Tribolium castaneum: one gene and its partner. The protein of the gene in region 1 interacts with the protein of each later gene in a biochemical or structural test. Links are inferred from orthologs where the notes say so. Each region holds a gene or a part of one and is shown on either strand. Other genes may lie near its edges.

What was found.
Region 2: the proteins of elongation factor-like GTPase 1 (region 1) and Sbds interact in a biophysical measurement, tested with the Homo sapiens proteins (2 studies listed by BioGRID and IntAct, with this or other methods). The link is inferred for Tribolium castaneum from reciprocal best matches to the Homo sapiens genes EFL1 and SBDS.

The regions. Positions count from the first base shown.
Region 1 is NC_087394.1:28,830,581-28,838,960, reverse strand, and holds elongation factor-like GTPase 1, read right to left. Parts: upstream 4,776-8,380; 5' UTR 4,631-4,775; intron 4,552-4,630; 5' UTR 4,551-4,551; coding exon 1,572-4,550; 3' UTR 1,535-1,571; downstream 1-1,534. Other genes in the region: maternal embryonic leucine zipper kinase, read left to right, coding at 1-80, 6,390-6,441, 8,376-8,380. UniProt on the Homo sapiens protein: GTPase involved in the biogenesis of the 60S ribosomal subunit and translational activation of ribosomes.
Region 2 is NC_087395.1:24,036,610-24,043,967, reverse strand, and holds Sbds (ribosome maturation protein SBDS), read left to right. Parts: upstream 1-3,535; 5' UTR 3,536-3,696; intron 3,697-3,796; 5' UTR 3,797-3,925; coding exon 3,926-4,056; intron 4,057-4,102; coding exon 4,103-4,730; 3' UTR 4,731-4,793; downstream 4,794-7,358. Other genes in the region: uncharacterized protein LOC663281, read right to left, coding at 3,000-3,137; corrinoid adenosyltransferase MMAB, read right to left, coding at 4,794-5,024, 5,071-5,416, 5,463-5,524; LYR motif-containing protein 9, read left to right, coding at 5,739-5,888, 5,940-6,032, 6,078-6,095; probable tRNA (uracil-O(2)-)-methyltransferase, read left to right, coding at 6,097-7,358. UniProt on the Homo sapiens protein: Required for the assembly of mature ribosomes and ribosome biogenesis.

The DNA of each region.
Region 1 (8,380 bases):
TGAACCTGAGAAGCCCCCAAGCGTACGCAAACCTCAGAAGAGGGTGAGGAGCCCCACTTTGGGAGAGGAAAGTTCGCCAGGTACGATTTTTTTATTTTATCACTCTTGTGCAATAGAAGTTTCCAAATCCATTTCCACTATGTTTTCAGCGGCGCAACAGCAAAATTTTCTTTTGTTGTTTACGTTCTTTTTATCTTATGTTACTTTCCTGTGTTTCGTATATTTTTTTAGTATTAGAGGCAAGTTGCAAATTTTTGGTCACATCTTTTAATTTATGTTTAGTTGTTTTGTTTATTCGTTTTGTTCATTTGTCTGTATTTTTTCAATTCTGTTTTTCAAGGTGTTTGTTCGACAATTTACCACTCTTACGCGGTAAAGTAGTTCTTCTAACTCTTAGTTCTCTTTTCTTTTGTATCACATTATTTGAATTGTTATTAAGCTCGTCTTATTTAAGGTGTTTTTATTTTGTAGTGGAGTGGTTGTTTTATTTTATAGTGCATTTTTTTATCATGTGTGTCCACTTATTATCCCTCCCTCGATTTCTTCAAAGACACAGTTCGATCTCGAAAATCCAAACCTACTATAATCTGAACAGATTCTTTGACTTTTGTAAAACAAACTATTCCAAACAATATTTCCCGAGAAATATTATGTAGATTGTTAAATAATCTTGTAAAAACAACGTAATGTTGTGGTTGCATAATACAAATAGAAAATTTTGAATTTAGAAGTTGCTACAAAAGGCAATTTTCATTGTAAAAGAAGGAATTACTTATTTTCAAATAACATTTTTGCACGAGATATCAAGTAGCGTTTAGATCATCTCGGAACCAAATTGTTTAATTAATTTTAAATTAAACTAGTTAATTACTTCGAAAAAGGAAAGGAACTTTGACCACTAAACTTTTGATAAATTGAGAAAACTTGACTAAAATTTTCACGTCAAACATGGGAAAAATAAAATATATAAATTACTGTTTTTTACTGAGTGCTATAGATGATTTAATGCCTATCTGCCTGTAATTTTTGTGTGTCCTGTGCAGTCATTTACTTCATTGCTCTTAAAACTTAAACGTTTATTAAAAAAATCACATGTAATTATTAAAAAAAAATTAAACGCAAAATCTTAAATATTTCCCAAAAGGTGGGTTTTTGAAAAAAACACGATAAATAGCAGGTAAATCTTCTGTTTAAAACAACATAGACAACATATTGAATTTTGTATCCATCAAGCGAATCAGAAGTTGCTAAACAAAAATTTTAAAGTTATCCACTTTTCCAACAGGAAGCAAAAAATAACCCTTAATCTGACGAAATTTTGAAAGTCAAGGCTAAATTTTGAGGTATTTTATATAATTTTGTCGAGAATTTTTATATGATCATTATAGTAAATATTTTTTTACAAATCAAAATAAGTCTCATGTTGTATTTGGTTGGATTATCGAGGTTGCACTGTATCACTTTATTTTTTGTTTTTGTTTTATATATTTTGTGAAAGTATAGTCATCCCCAGCCCCCAAAACAAAGCCTAACATCTTACAAAAATATTTATTCACGTGTTAGTTTCACTTTTATTTTTTCTTATTGAGCGTCCTTTGTTTCTCTCCATGCACGACCACCTGTTCCTCCACGTGCAACCCTTTCCGTTTCCTTATCGCTTTTCTAAGTTTGGTGGCCCTGATAGCCGACTCCACATTCACATCTTCCTCTTCTTCGTCGTCCTCCACCGGCTCGTAAAACGGATCACCGTCGATAATCTCAAAATGACTAAACTTCAAAGTAGGAATCGCTTGCCCAGAAGTCGTTTTGCGCATTTCGTTAGCAAAACCCGTACTTTCAACAACCGGAATCTGGGCCTTAACCAGAAAACTTTTCTCTTGCTCGTCCATTCCGACAGCGTCCAGAACTTTCCCGTGCCGTTTACTCACAACCGAGTAGACTTTTCCTAAAATATTTGTGTTGACTTGAATACTGGTCGTAAACATCGGTTCCATGAGTCTCTGCTGTTGTTTTTCGAACGCTTCGCGAAACGCTGAACTCAGAGCCGATTCGATATTAACACTGGTTTTGGTCGTCCCGTCCAAGCTCTCGTCATGACTGACTTCAAAGTTTTTCACCAGGAAAACACAGTTTTTCAGTGGTTCTTCACACAGCGGGCCAGCTTTGCAGCACGAATTGAAGGCGTTCACCACAAATTGGTCGAAACACGACCGCGGGTCTTTCTCGTCCAAAGTTTCGTAAATATTTCGCGCGTAATTACTGGTCCCGTTGATTAGTAAATTTATACTGTCAGGCATGCGGCCCACGCTCCAGACCTTATTTTCGATTTTGGCCCAAATGCCTTTACACGAAGCGAAAACCGAGCTTAATTGCTCGCTCACATGTTTAAGTGAGACGTTAGTGACGTCGCTTTTGAACATTTTTAAAGTTGGGGGTTTCAAGTCTTCAGGTTTTGACGCACGTTTGGCGAACAGTTCGAATCCGCTGATTTGTTGGTGTTCTTCGATTGAGTGCAACAGTTTGTAGTTCTTTTCGATTTCGTTGGCTATAACGTCCGGTAAAGCGACCACAACTACGGTTAAACGAATCTGGGCCACTTCTACTGTGACCGAATTCTCCAGGTCTTTCTTTAAGTCGCTTTTGTTGCTTCCGTGGGTCACAGTTTCCCGCAGTGAGACCATCGGACTGGAAACGTTGATTTCAATTTTGGCAAATTTCGTCGTCAAATCTTCCAGACATTTAGCAAGGTGTACGTCCCCTGCTGTCAGTAAAACATACTCTCCTGATTCTTCTATTACGACCTGGACGCAAGAATCACTTTGCATTAGTACGCGCAAACCTTGTCTTAAAATTGGAAGGTCTTTCGGATTGGTTGGTTCGATGGCGTTTCGGACTATAGGGGGCTGTGATGGGTGTTCAATAAATGCGACACACTGTAGAGTTGTTGATAGGGTTGCTGTGCGGACTATAGCCGACTCCAGCCCCCCGATACCACACACATTTCCAGCCGTTATTTCATCAACTAGGACCAACTCACGACCAAAAAGCATATAAAGTTCTTTAACTTTCACTAATTGGGCACACGTATCACTTGTTTTGCCTTCTTGGGGGACGTATTGAGGTGACAAGACGTAGATTTCTTGGCCCGTTTTGAGACAACCGGTGAAAACTCGCGCCAGTGCTATTATAGAAAATTCATCCCGAGGTTTCTCTTCTTCGCAATTTTTTTCCTTTTCAGTGTGGTTTGTTTTTTCGCCATTTTCCTGCTTGGGTTCAGTATTTTTAGGTCTCGGCTTGGGGATAAAAACTTTAGGTTTGTTTTGTGACAAGTTCTTATTGTCGACGCAAAACATTTTCGAAACATATGCAGTACACGGTGTGGAGTCGTCAGAGGAACACGATTTGAACACCGTGATTAGTTTTTCGAGACAATTTTTGTGAAACTCGTTTTCGCAAAATTTGTTAAAATCGAGGAGATATTTAATTTTGTCTTCGTGCATGTTTGAGGGTGGCGGGATAATTTTCATACATTGGTGTAAAATGACATCGGCAAGGGGGCTCCAAGCTTGCATTATGGCCTTGACTTGGGTTTTGGGGTCCGTGTGGTTCATTTCTCGCGTCACGTTCGTAATGTTCAGTTTCTGGACAATGGTGCCAACTTTATCCCTTTGCATTTGGATGACTATGGTTGAGTAGATGTGGAATATCGTTTTGATGCACAGTTGCACAAATAAATTAGTTTTGCCCTTTTCGATCGCTCCTAGTTTAACTGTGTTTGTTTTACCGTCGACGTAAGCATCGAAATTCCATAATTTCGTATTCAGTGAGTCTACGGTTTCACTTTTGATGGCATTCACAAACATCGAGGCTATTTGTTTGAGGGTGAAGCCCCACCCATCGATGGCACTTGCAAAAATCACGTTTCCGGCGTCCGGTGAAAACAAAAGTCCGGTGTCTTCAATATCGACGTCAGGATTGCAATATTCGTATTGGTACAGTTCCGCAACGATCGCATTGCAGTCCTCAATCGCGTGCAAAATCGACTGGAAAATGTCGTTCACTTCCTTGTGCAACTCCACGATTAATTTATCTATTTTGTTTAGAATTAGTATCATTTTGCAGCGTTCTGTGAACGCCTGTTTGATGGCTTCGCGTGTTTGTACGCACACGCCTTCGACTAAGTCGACCACGACTAGGGCCCCGTCGCATACGCGTAGGGCTGCGCCCACCTCGGAGGAGAAATCGATGTGTCCGGGTGTATCAATTAAATTCAACAAAAGCGGCTTTTCTTCTTTCGTGTCTTCATCTTCGACTAAGTTTATTAAAGACACTGCGCTACTTTTCATGGTAATTCCACGTTCTTGCTCGTCCAGTCGGTCGTCTAAATACCTGACCAGACCAGCCATGCGTTTGCTTACTAAACGATTCGTGGCTAGTAGCGAATCGGCGATTGTGGTCTTGCCGTGGTCCACGTGTGCCAAAATGCATACATTTCGTATGCACGATGTGTTTTTCATGCATTCTTGGAGGACTTCGAGTGGGGCACCCATGCTGAAAATTGTAATTTGTGAAGGTGGTGCTAGGAGTAGGTGTGTTCACGAAGGGGTTAGTTGTCGTCTGAAGTACTTACTTGAGTGAAATTGCGGTTTAAAACGGTGAAATGTGTGGAAAATGAAGGGTGAAAAGTTGAGGTTAAGTCACATTTCAGGCAGCTGTCAGAAATAAAGGAGGTTTAGAGCGAGTTCGGGTTAAATAATGGCCGGTTTACGCGTTACGCAAGTTGTTGAAAGTGGTTGAAATTTTCGAATTGGCCTCTTTATTTTACTTTAACATTTTTTTATGCTATTTTATAATGATCAGTAAGCAATTAACATTGTCTACAGAACACCTAGAATAATAAAGTGAAGAGTAAGACTTTACAGGACTTTCTAAATTCGTCAATAAAGAGACGTACACTTGTGTAATGTTGGTTGCATACAATTTCAAATTTTTGTTCAAAAAGTTAAGTGTTTTGCACAACTTTATGAGACCTGCGTCTAATGTACGCATCCAAATATATAAGAGCCTGAAGTCACTAGAAATAATTTATTATTTAATTTTTAGAAGCCGCTGATAATACTAGTCAAACTAATCACTGTTTCAATAATAGTCATGTTTGGTTTTTTTTCAGAAACAGTTATTATGTGTTCTATCAAGAGACGGAATGAATATGATTCTAATCTATCTATCTTAATCAGTTACTCAAAAATTAACTAACAACGTTGTACCTAATTTTTGAAGGGGTGAACAAATTAGAGAAGACTCCAATTTTTCCAAAATTTGTAATTGACTTATGTGAAATGCTCTTCATATTCGTAATAAAAAAACAGCTTAAAAATTATCTCTTTCTCCTAACGAGTGATAGGATGTAATTTCTAAATCTTATGAAATGTTACGATTAACAAAAAATAAACAAATAAAAATTATAATTTCTACTTCTTGGACCCTGTTGTTTACTTGCATAACATTATTTTTTTATTTAAACTACTTTAAACCTTACTCTCGAATACTATGTCAAAAAGATTAATAAGGTTTTATTTACTTTTTGAATTCTTCAAGCAATTTGTAATCATCTCTAATGCAATTCTAAAAACTACTTATGATAAGTATAATCAGTAAAAATATAATTTAGTTGGAGATTCAAGTTCTCATTGCTTCTTTTATTAAAACCAAGAAGAGTCATACATATATTTTGGTTAATGTTTATAATTTTCTCAATAATTAAATATTGGGCAATAAAATAATAGATAAGGTCAAGAAGTCAGAATATTAATTATTTTGTAGTTAATTAACTGTAAACTGATTTACGAGTACATTGTTTTATTGTCAAAGAAATCGTGAAAATCTTTGTTGCAATTTAGCTAAAGAAGCAATAAATTAACTCTTTGAGTTCTGTTGGCGTCTTGGCCAAATCTTTCCCGGAGGTAATTTAATTGCATAAATTCCGAGTAAACAGGAGATACATCACGAAACAGGCGACAGCAAAGTAGTTAAAACTTTAAATGACTGCATCTTAGTATAGCCTTAAGAGTGCAGATGTGTATATCAGTGTCCAGTTCTTCAAGGGCTGTTACCTCCTTCTTTATGGCTTAAAAGTCTTAAATTAGTTCAAGTTTGCACAAGTGTTCTAAGCACTAATAAGAAAGTGCCGGAAAATATCGTCGAAGCAGTTGGTGAAGTGGTCTCTGGGGTGGCATCGCTCACCCGACCCACGTTAAAATATCACCGTTTTAACTTTGTTACAACGCGACCCTTTATGATGTTGCTGTTATAGCGGCACTATAAAGGCGAATGGGATTTATCCTCTTCCATTAAGATATTCAATTCGATGATTTTATTTGAATTTTCAGTGCCCAGCAAAAAATCCACAACGGAGAGATCTACGCCGAAAACTCCAGAAAGGTGAGTGAGTCGAAAAATTGCTCGCTAACGAGCCGAATTTTTGCCGTCTAATTGGCATACACCGGTGCGTTTGTCTCCCTGATTAAGCGTTCCGGTCGTGGTAATTGAAGCAGTAAAGTGTCGAGTATATGGACTGTAGGGGTTGTAAACAAGGGGTTGAACGTGCTTGGTGAACCTGCACGCGGTTGCTGCCTCGATGGCCGGACATGTTTACCAGCTTTGATTATCATAAACATCGGTTTCCGGTCCGTTTGGACGCCGCGATTTGTGCACTTTGCGAAAACTGGCCAAGGACGAATCGGGGAGACATTGCGAATTTATTTCATCCACTCATTTTTCGGAAACACAACAGGTCCTTGCCCACACACGCCATAAATGTTTGAACAAAATCTAATAATTTGTATGGATTCAAACGTATCTAATTTTTTAAATACTGCTCAAGTATTTTTTGTAATTTATTGTCTCATTTTCAATGTTATCAGAAAAAAATATATAAATGATGAAATTTACCCACATTTGTATTCATATTACGTTTTAATTTATTAAAAAATAGCAATTCCAGCAAAGGCAAAATAATTTTTCTGGAGTACTCTAGAGTCCTCTATGGCACAAGTTGTCAAAAAATTGAATATGAAGTATTTTTTTGTGGCAACGATTATTCAAGTAGATGGATGCGAGGTGCGAGTTGTAACACAAAAGCTACGATACTTAGTAAAAATTTGTAAAAGTTGCCGCAAAAGCACTTTAGGAGAAATCACTGCTTTATGGATTGCAGAAACATATTCTAATATTCTTCCGAATGTTGTCGCTGATCGATAAAAAAAAGATCTTGTTTTTTATAAGGAAGACACAAATGAATAATAAAATTTTTAACTTTTCTAAATATTTTTTTAAGTAGGCAAAGAAACACATTCACTGCTGCTCAAAATAAAGCATAGAACTCTGTTCTCTGGTACAAGTGGTAGTGGGCATACAATGACTAGTAAAGTCTTATTTACTAAAGAGTCTTAATTTGATGTATACTTTTGAGATTCTAAGTAAGATTCACTAAAACGGTAATACGAAATAAACTAGAGACCTTTTATAAAGACTTTCAAAAATCCGTTAAAATTTGCCAAATAACAAATGGTGTGGTACAATTTGAGTTCATAGATCCTACGGTAAACAGCATTAAATATATTTTGCAAAAACTTTATACCACCCTCTGAAAAATTATGTCTTGAATGTATATTTTTATTTTTCAAAAACATAATGCTTTTTGTCACACAGCATAATTTATGAAATAATAATTTGGTAATTCTTGTTATGTTTTGGCTAGCAAATAGCGCTGATTTAAATATCATTGTGTCTTTTTGGCACAAAATGAAAAGTTATCTTATAGATCTTTCTTAATGGCCATTGGAAGTTTTAAAAATTAAATTAGAACATATTTGGAGCAATAAGAAATCTGTTACAGATTCTTTAAAAATATGCCAACGTACATTGGAACCGTCATTAAAGCCAAAAGAGATGTCACAAATTACTAACAAGTATTTTTCCTTCAAACAATTGGTTCTGAGGTATTTTTTCTGTTATTTTTTGTTTTAAAATTATGTTAAATAAGTGTTTTAAAGTAATTTTTAAATAGGTTTTAAGTTATAAAAAATTTTCTTTAAAATTTACTTTTTTTAATAAACATTTAATAGCTTGATATGCATTTATTTACAAAATAGTATTTAGTTGTTAGGGCTCTTAATTAAAATAGACTAAATTCCTGGCATCTACACAGTATTTTTTATCTCTGAAATTCTATGTTTACTTAAAAAAAAGCCATTTAATATCATTTCAGGATAGTTTAAGTAAAAAAAAATGGCGTTTTAAACATCCTTTTGGTCGTTACTTTTCGCTTTTTTGTGGGGCTGCTAAACCATGCCCTTAATTCAATATTTTTACAGAAAGA
Region 2 (7,358 bases), on another chromosome or scaffold:
TTAAATGATTTTGCTTTAACAACTGGTTTTATTCCAATCCCTTCCTCCAAAAAATGCAACTTATTATCAAAAGATACAGTCAATATTATAAAGATTCTCGAAACTATGGAGCAATCGATCAGATAAACTAATCATTCCAGTGAAAGTTATTAATAAAATTTTAACAGCTCGTTACTTTTATGCACTAATATGCAACTGATAATGAAACTGGGTTGACAGGTGGCAAACTTTTAATTGTTGTAAAAATAATTATGGAAATAAAAAATAATGAGCTGCAGTAATTCTACCCAAACTGCAGGATTCTGGCCCATTTATTTCAGTTTACGCAACAGCCGGCAGGACCTCCATTACTTTTTTTCATCTCTCCGACCATTTAACCACTTAAAATATACACGCAATATAATCCCAAACAAACAAATCCACTTTCTCTCTTTTGTTCAGACACGTCGATTGTAATAAAACTTCCATCTCGATTCGGAAACCCATCGTCCAGTCTGCTATAGTTCACGCACAAAGTGCGTAGGTTTATTTACAAACAGCCTAATTATAATGCACGCTCGAGATGTTGAAACGATTTGCATAAAAATTCGCTTTATTAAGACACGCAGGAAAAAAACAATACCAACTACGACATGTTTTATTTATCATATTAATTTGCATTTTAATCGCGGTTTAATTACAATATTCAATTTATATTTCATCGGCCAAACATTCCGGGTATTTTATTTTTTCTTTCAATCATCCGGTCGAAAAATTGGCATAATCATCGTCGATTTTCTAGCGAAATGGGTTAAAATGGCGCCGGAATACAATGCAAGACCGCCGTCATTTCCGCATGACATCAATTTTTAATATGTGCAATTACGACGCGTTTTTCGATCGACATGTAACGGTCCGTCGCCGACTTCCACGCTTTACCGACCAACGAAATCTATCGATTTCGATCTGTCAACTTTCACGACGACAAAAACCTCACCCGGATAGGTCATTAATAAACTTTTCGTAATCGCAGGAAATTAAGACGATATAGAGTGCAATAATTACATGACTTAAGTCGGTTACTACCGGCTCGGATTGTATAATTTCATTAGCGCTGGAAAAAAATGATAGCAAGGCGGGAAAGTCGACGAAATGCGATAAGAATTCGTTATTACCTCATGAGAATAACTCCTGAAAGGTTGAATTAACGTCGGAATTTTCAGATTCTGCAAATGTCGTTACGTAACATTCCATTACGGCCATTTTAATTACTTATACGCTTACAAGGTTGTGTTGCAATTCCGCGGCCTCCTAAATTGCTTTTCGACTTATCTACATATAGACAACTTTTTTCCATCTATCCATATTTGAGAAGACGCAAAAAGCGAGACGTGAGGATGAGCAGTCGTGAGAATATCAACATTGAAATTACTTCCTTATCATAAAGTTAACTCGAGATTAATGAGAATTGCTCCCAAGTGGACGAAAAATATTCAACACGTCTAAGATGATTCCCGTTTTGTATTGATTCAAACGACACGTGCACGTAAATGATTATCTCTGGCAAATTATCAACCAAGCGATAAAAAACATAAACATAAATCCGAGATTAATAACACCACACTTTTTGTTCTTTTTGGTGAAAATCTCTGCTTGACGTCCTCACCCATAAATTTTAATTATTAATGAGAGAAAAGAAAGATTAGACCTGTATCAAATCGCATAAATTGCCAGAAGCCAAGAAAATGTCAACATTATTCATTTCATTTTCTAAATATGGCTCGCTTTAAAAAATCAAGCAAATACTAGCATGTTATCAAGTGTCACGTTAATCCGAATTGAAAAATCGGAAACTCTCTTAATTCAAAACATCAACAACATAGAAAATCACAATTTGGAAAACAATGAAAAAAATCGGGGTTAATTTAAAAGTTTTAAAATTCCTTTTTTATTTGAAAACAGTTTCCATTTGCAAGATTTATTCATTTAAATATTGACATAATACATACATGTTTGAATACATATCTACACTTTATTTCTTTTTACGTGAAAACAAACGTGATGCTTGCTTTTTATATTTCGTAAATATTTGTGGCCTCCGCAATGCCAGTTATTTCATATTTTAATTTTTTTACTATAATACGTATTGTGTTTCTTCAATTTCACTTCAAAAACTTGCAACAATTGTAAAATGTATGCATATCTATTAAAATCAAATTAAAACTTTTCCGAACTTTCATTAAGCAAACATTACTTATGCTAATGCAAACATAAAGGGAGACAACATTTACATTTCTAGTCAAAATCTCACTTGTAATTTTTGTGCTGTAAAATGCTCATTTCTCCAAGCATTGACATGCCAATTCTGGCCAATAGCTAAAAATAGTCTCTACACACAAAAACGGTGTCAATGTGCGGAATTTTTCTAAAATTATATCAGAGGAAAGTCATTAAAATAATTTCAAGAATTAATTAGATAAACACATCCAGTTTATTACTCACCAAGAAATAATTAATTAAATGCCATTACTACGATAGATCGCCAATTTCTCATACAGTTTGCATAAATTCCTAGTCACATTTCCGCATGAAAAACTGTAAATTAGTACTTTGTGTTGTTTTTAGAATCGTACGTTGAAATCCGCTCCACATTTTCATTATCACAAAACAAACCGAAAACCACAAACAGAAAACACAAAGTGGACTGCTTGCCGTCTTAACAATCTCGTTATCACACTTTTTAAACAGAAAACCTGGGCGTGAAAGTACCAAATTTCATCAATTATCAATTTTTTGTAATTAGATAACAACGGTAACCCGATCTATGCCAGGATTAACTCCTCAAAAACCTAATCCCTTTAACAACATGACTCATATAATCCGTTTTTTAGACGGAATTTTCTCCAGCCCCTCGATCAATGAATTGCAAATCGGCCCCCGAACCGGTCCAACGTCTATTGATTCGTTTTCCTGGTGCCGGAGGCGCCCAAAAAACCCTTCCTGTGTAAACACATACTCACTTTGGGCCTAAGACGCACCCTTGGGGGCTTCCACGAAGTGTTTCCGTTGGCGCTGCCGCCGCCGCCGCCGGAGAACAGGATGCTCTCCCATGGGGACGGCGGGTTCGGGGTCCTCGGGGGCGGCAAAATGTACAACATTGCTCACACGAATCACCAAGACATTGCGTACAATGGGGTTGTTTAACCGTTTTTTCACGACACTCGCACCGAGACTGCTTGCAGCAAACTGACAGAACAGCTGCGAGTACGATGGGAGAGCTGCGGCACGACAACCGCACGATACTAAAAACCCTGGTACCGTTATTGTCCAACTTGGGAATAAACGGGTCGGAAAAGGTGACAGCAATGGGTTTTATGCCTTTTTTGGTAGCGGATTTGAGAAAATGACCAAAACCGAACCGTCGGGGCAATTTCACGTTATCAAAACACGGGGATATGTTTGTTTACTTTGGCTGACAAGAACCCTATTATTCACTCGGAGATTAGATAAGATCTTGCTCAAATATAACCTTAATTTGAATCTCGGTGTTTTTAAGTCTCACAGTCGGGAAACTTCGCGGTTCTAAATATAAACAATGACAAGGGTTGGAAATATTTGACTTACGAGACTCGTCGGCGAATTGTTTGTGCTGGGGCTCCGCCGCACCGTCACTAGGGCCATTCTGGACTTTTCACTCGTAACACCCACATGAGTACGGTACTGTGCACGTTTTTTCAAAAAAAATAATAAACTGATATTTTTGACAATTACGAAAAGACAACAAACGTCACAATAAGCCCGTGTTCAATACTTTCAGTTCGACCAATCACATCGCCCGATTCAGAAATTAACCAATCGGCGACCAGAACCACTCAGATGTTAGCCAGGCGTCCTCTACCGGCCAACTCACCCAACTTGCCATTTAAACGTCAAAAGTCAAAAAATAATGTCGAAAATATTTACCCCCACGAACCAAATCCGGCTAACAAACATCGCCGTGGTCCGCATGAAAAAGGGCGGAAAACGTTTCGAGATCGCCTGCTACCGGAACAAAGTTGTGTCATGGAGAAACCAAGTGTAAGTAGAGCGAGTCCAGGATTGCACAATTTGACTTGATTTTCAGTGAAAAGGACATTGATGAGGTGTTGCAATCCCACACCGTCTTCGCCAACGTTTCCAAAGGCCAAGTTGCGAAAAAAGAGGATCTAGTCAAGGCGTTCAATACCGAGGATCAGACAGAAATCTGCAAAGAAATCCTCCTGAAGGGCGAACTGCAAGTCTCCGACAAAGAGCGGCAAAGCCAAATCGACCAACTGTTCAAAGATATCGCAACGACGGTCGCCGAAAAATGCATAAACCCCGAACTGAAGCGCCCGTACCCCGTCACAATCATAGAAAAAGCCATGAAAGATGCACACTATTCAGTCAAGCCCAACCAATCGGCTAAACAGCAGGCGCTTCAGGTGATTAAGCTGCTGAAGGAGCAAATCCCGCTCGAACGAGCCAAGATGCGGCTTAAGGTCATATCGAAGGGAAAAGTCGCCAAAAAAATGAAGGACAAAATCGGCAAGTTCGAGAGCGTGGAAGTGGAGAAAGAGGACCGCGATGACGACCAACTAACGCTAATTTTTTTGGTGGACCCTGGGCACTTCAAGGAAATCGACACGATGGTGCAAGCGGAAATTAAGAACGGCTCCTACCTTGAGGTATTATCATACAAAGAAATGGCCTCAGGTCTTGAACAGTTGTAACAGTTTTGTTGATATTTTTTTATTAAAACTTTGTAAACTTTCCTATGTACAAAATGTAATAAATTATTGAGCTTGGACTTTCTCGTCGGGTTTGGGGATATAGATCGACTCCGTCCTCTTGTCTAACTTAGCGGCCATTCGTGAGACGATAAACAAAAAGTCCGAGAGTCTATTGAGGTAAATAAGGGCCTCGTTGTGCAAATGCCCTTCGTTCACCAGAGGAACGATCACGCGCTCAGTCCGGCGACAAACCGCCCGTGCAACGTGCAGAGACGCACTCGGGATGCCGCCCCCCTGAAACCCACAATTACCACACCCGAAAACGCACCAAATCAATTACAGGAATAATGTACTGTTCAGGCGGCGGCAACTGCTTCGAGTATTCCAAGATCCAGTCTTCCAGCTCTTTGGTGTAGTTTTTCGGGATGATTTTCTTCGCCTGGTCGTTCGAGCGCGAAATCGCCGTGCTTAAATCTATGATTATTGTCTGAATTCGCTTGAGTTTGTCTGAGTATTCGTGCTCCGCCTCTTGTGCATACTCGCGGGCCAGGCCTATGTGGCTTAGCAGCTCCTCGGCGGCCCCGATAGCCTCGAAGATCTTTGAGTCTTTGGGTAGAGTATCAGAAGTGAGGGTTTTGGACGTGCCACGGTCACCGTCACGATTAAAGTACTCCTGAGGGGGCTTCCTAAACCCAATTAAAAATAAACGGGCACGGGACCCCCACAACTTACTTATCACAATATTGGCGCAAAAGTGTGCTCACTTGGGGCCGGAATAAACGGCGGAAGACCATCGTTTGCTGGGAAATTGACGGATGGTGAGGTTAGGGTGGCGGTGTCAAAAGTTACGTCACTCACACCCGGAAAACTACGATAATTAGCGCAAATCAAGCAAATGCGTTCACAAGCCAAGCTCTACCAGCATTTTAATTAATTGCGAACGGTCCGATTTGATTATTTCATCAGTGGTGTCACGGGTTCAATTTTCGGCGAACATAACCCCAAACTATGTCCAAGACTTGCATGCAATTCTTTCGCTTTAGTCACTGCACCAGTAAAGCCGATACGTCCCCGAAGGCCCTATACCGGCACTTGATACGCCAGTGTGAGAAACTGCCCGAAGGGCCCCAAAAATATTACAAGTTTATGATCAAACAGGTAAGTAAGTTCGTGCCAAGTTGGCGGAGTCACCCAAATATTCGATTTAAGAGTTTCAAACAGCACGTTAATGAAACCGACCCCCAACGCATCCAACAAATCGTCGCAAGGTCTTACGAGGACGCTGACTGGGTCTTGAAAAAAGTGAGTTGCGTAAGTGGTTTAGCAAAAAACGAGTTCAATTTCTAGTATCTTGGGAAACAGTAACATGGAGGAGGTCCCCCTGGTCAGGAGTTGCACTCAAGTCCCTTTGGAAAATTTCTGGAAGGCTGTTTTAGTTTACCACAATAGGCCCCACGTGATCAATCGCAAATTAGCAGCGATTGTGCCCCTTATCTTTTGCAAAATCACACTCAACTGCCCTGGCGTTAAACGCCTGAGGGACGTTTTCACCTGGGAGTCCCTCATATACGAAGTTAGAAAGTTACCCGACTTGTCCCAAATCACTCCACAATTTATTAAAAATATCACGGAAATTTACGACAAAAAAGCCACAGTTGAGGAAACGGCGCTAGAGACATTGGATAATTGTTACGAGGGCACTTTTCTATCAATTCGACAGTTACTTTCGCGCAAAAACAACGAAAAATGCCTTGAAATCGCAATTTTTGATAAAGACACCCAAACTGTTACTTTTCTCGCCGCTCAAGAACAAACCAGTCCGATCATAGCCCCCCGATTTCCCTACCACATCCACTTGACCAAATCGGGACACCTGACTATCATTTTGAACGAATTTGAAATTGCCGAAACGGCAAGTGCTGAATGGCTTGCCGATAAATTATTTCCAAAATTGATGAAATGGAGCGAAAACGACATTAGTGACGATTCTGTGATAAAATCTCTGAGTCTTGTAGCCCCTAGTGACTACTGCACGCTTTACTCCGAATTGAAGGTGAAATACGGCAGAGATTTGGTCGAAAAGTGGCCACAAAAAGCCAAAACTGATCCCCAAAAATACGTTTTTGAGGACATCGCAATCGCGGCTTACTTGATCAGTTTATGGCGGCATTTAAAGACTGAAAATATCAATTTCGTGGACTGTGGGTGCGGCAATGGTCTCCTCGTCTATATTTTAAACAAGGAGGGTTTCAAGGGCTGTGGTTTCGATATTCGAAGTCGGCAAGTTTGGGAGATTTACGGGGGCGAAGCCGACCTTCGCACAGGTGCAGTCACCCCAGAGTCAATTTATCCGGACGCCACTTGGCTCATTGGTAATCACTCGGACGAGCTAACACCTTGGATTCCGATCATTGCACTCAACAGTTCACCCAAGACGAATTTTTTCGTTCTGCCTTGTTGCCCGTACGACTTAAGTGGTCGCAAATATGTTAGAATTAACGCTGCATTAAGCCAGTATGGGGACTATTTGGATTATGTTAAAAATATTTCCACAATGTGTGGATTTACGACGTCGGTTGACAAGCTGAGGATTCCGTCAACGAAAAGAACTTGCCTTGTGGGAAACAA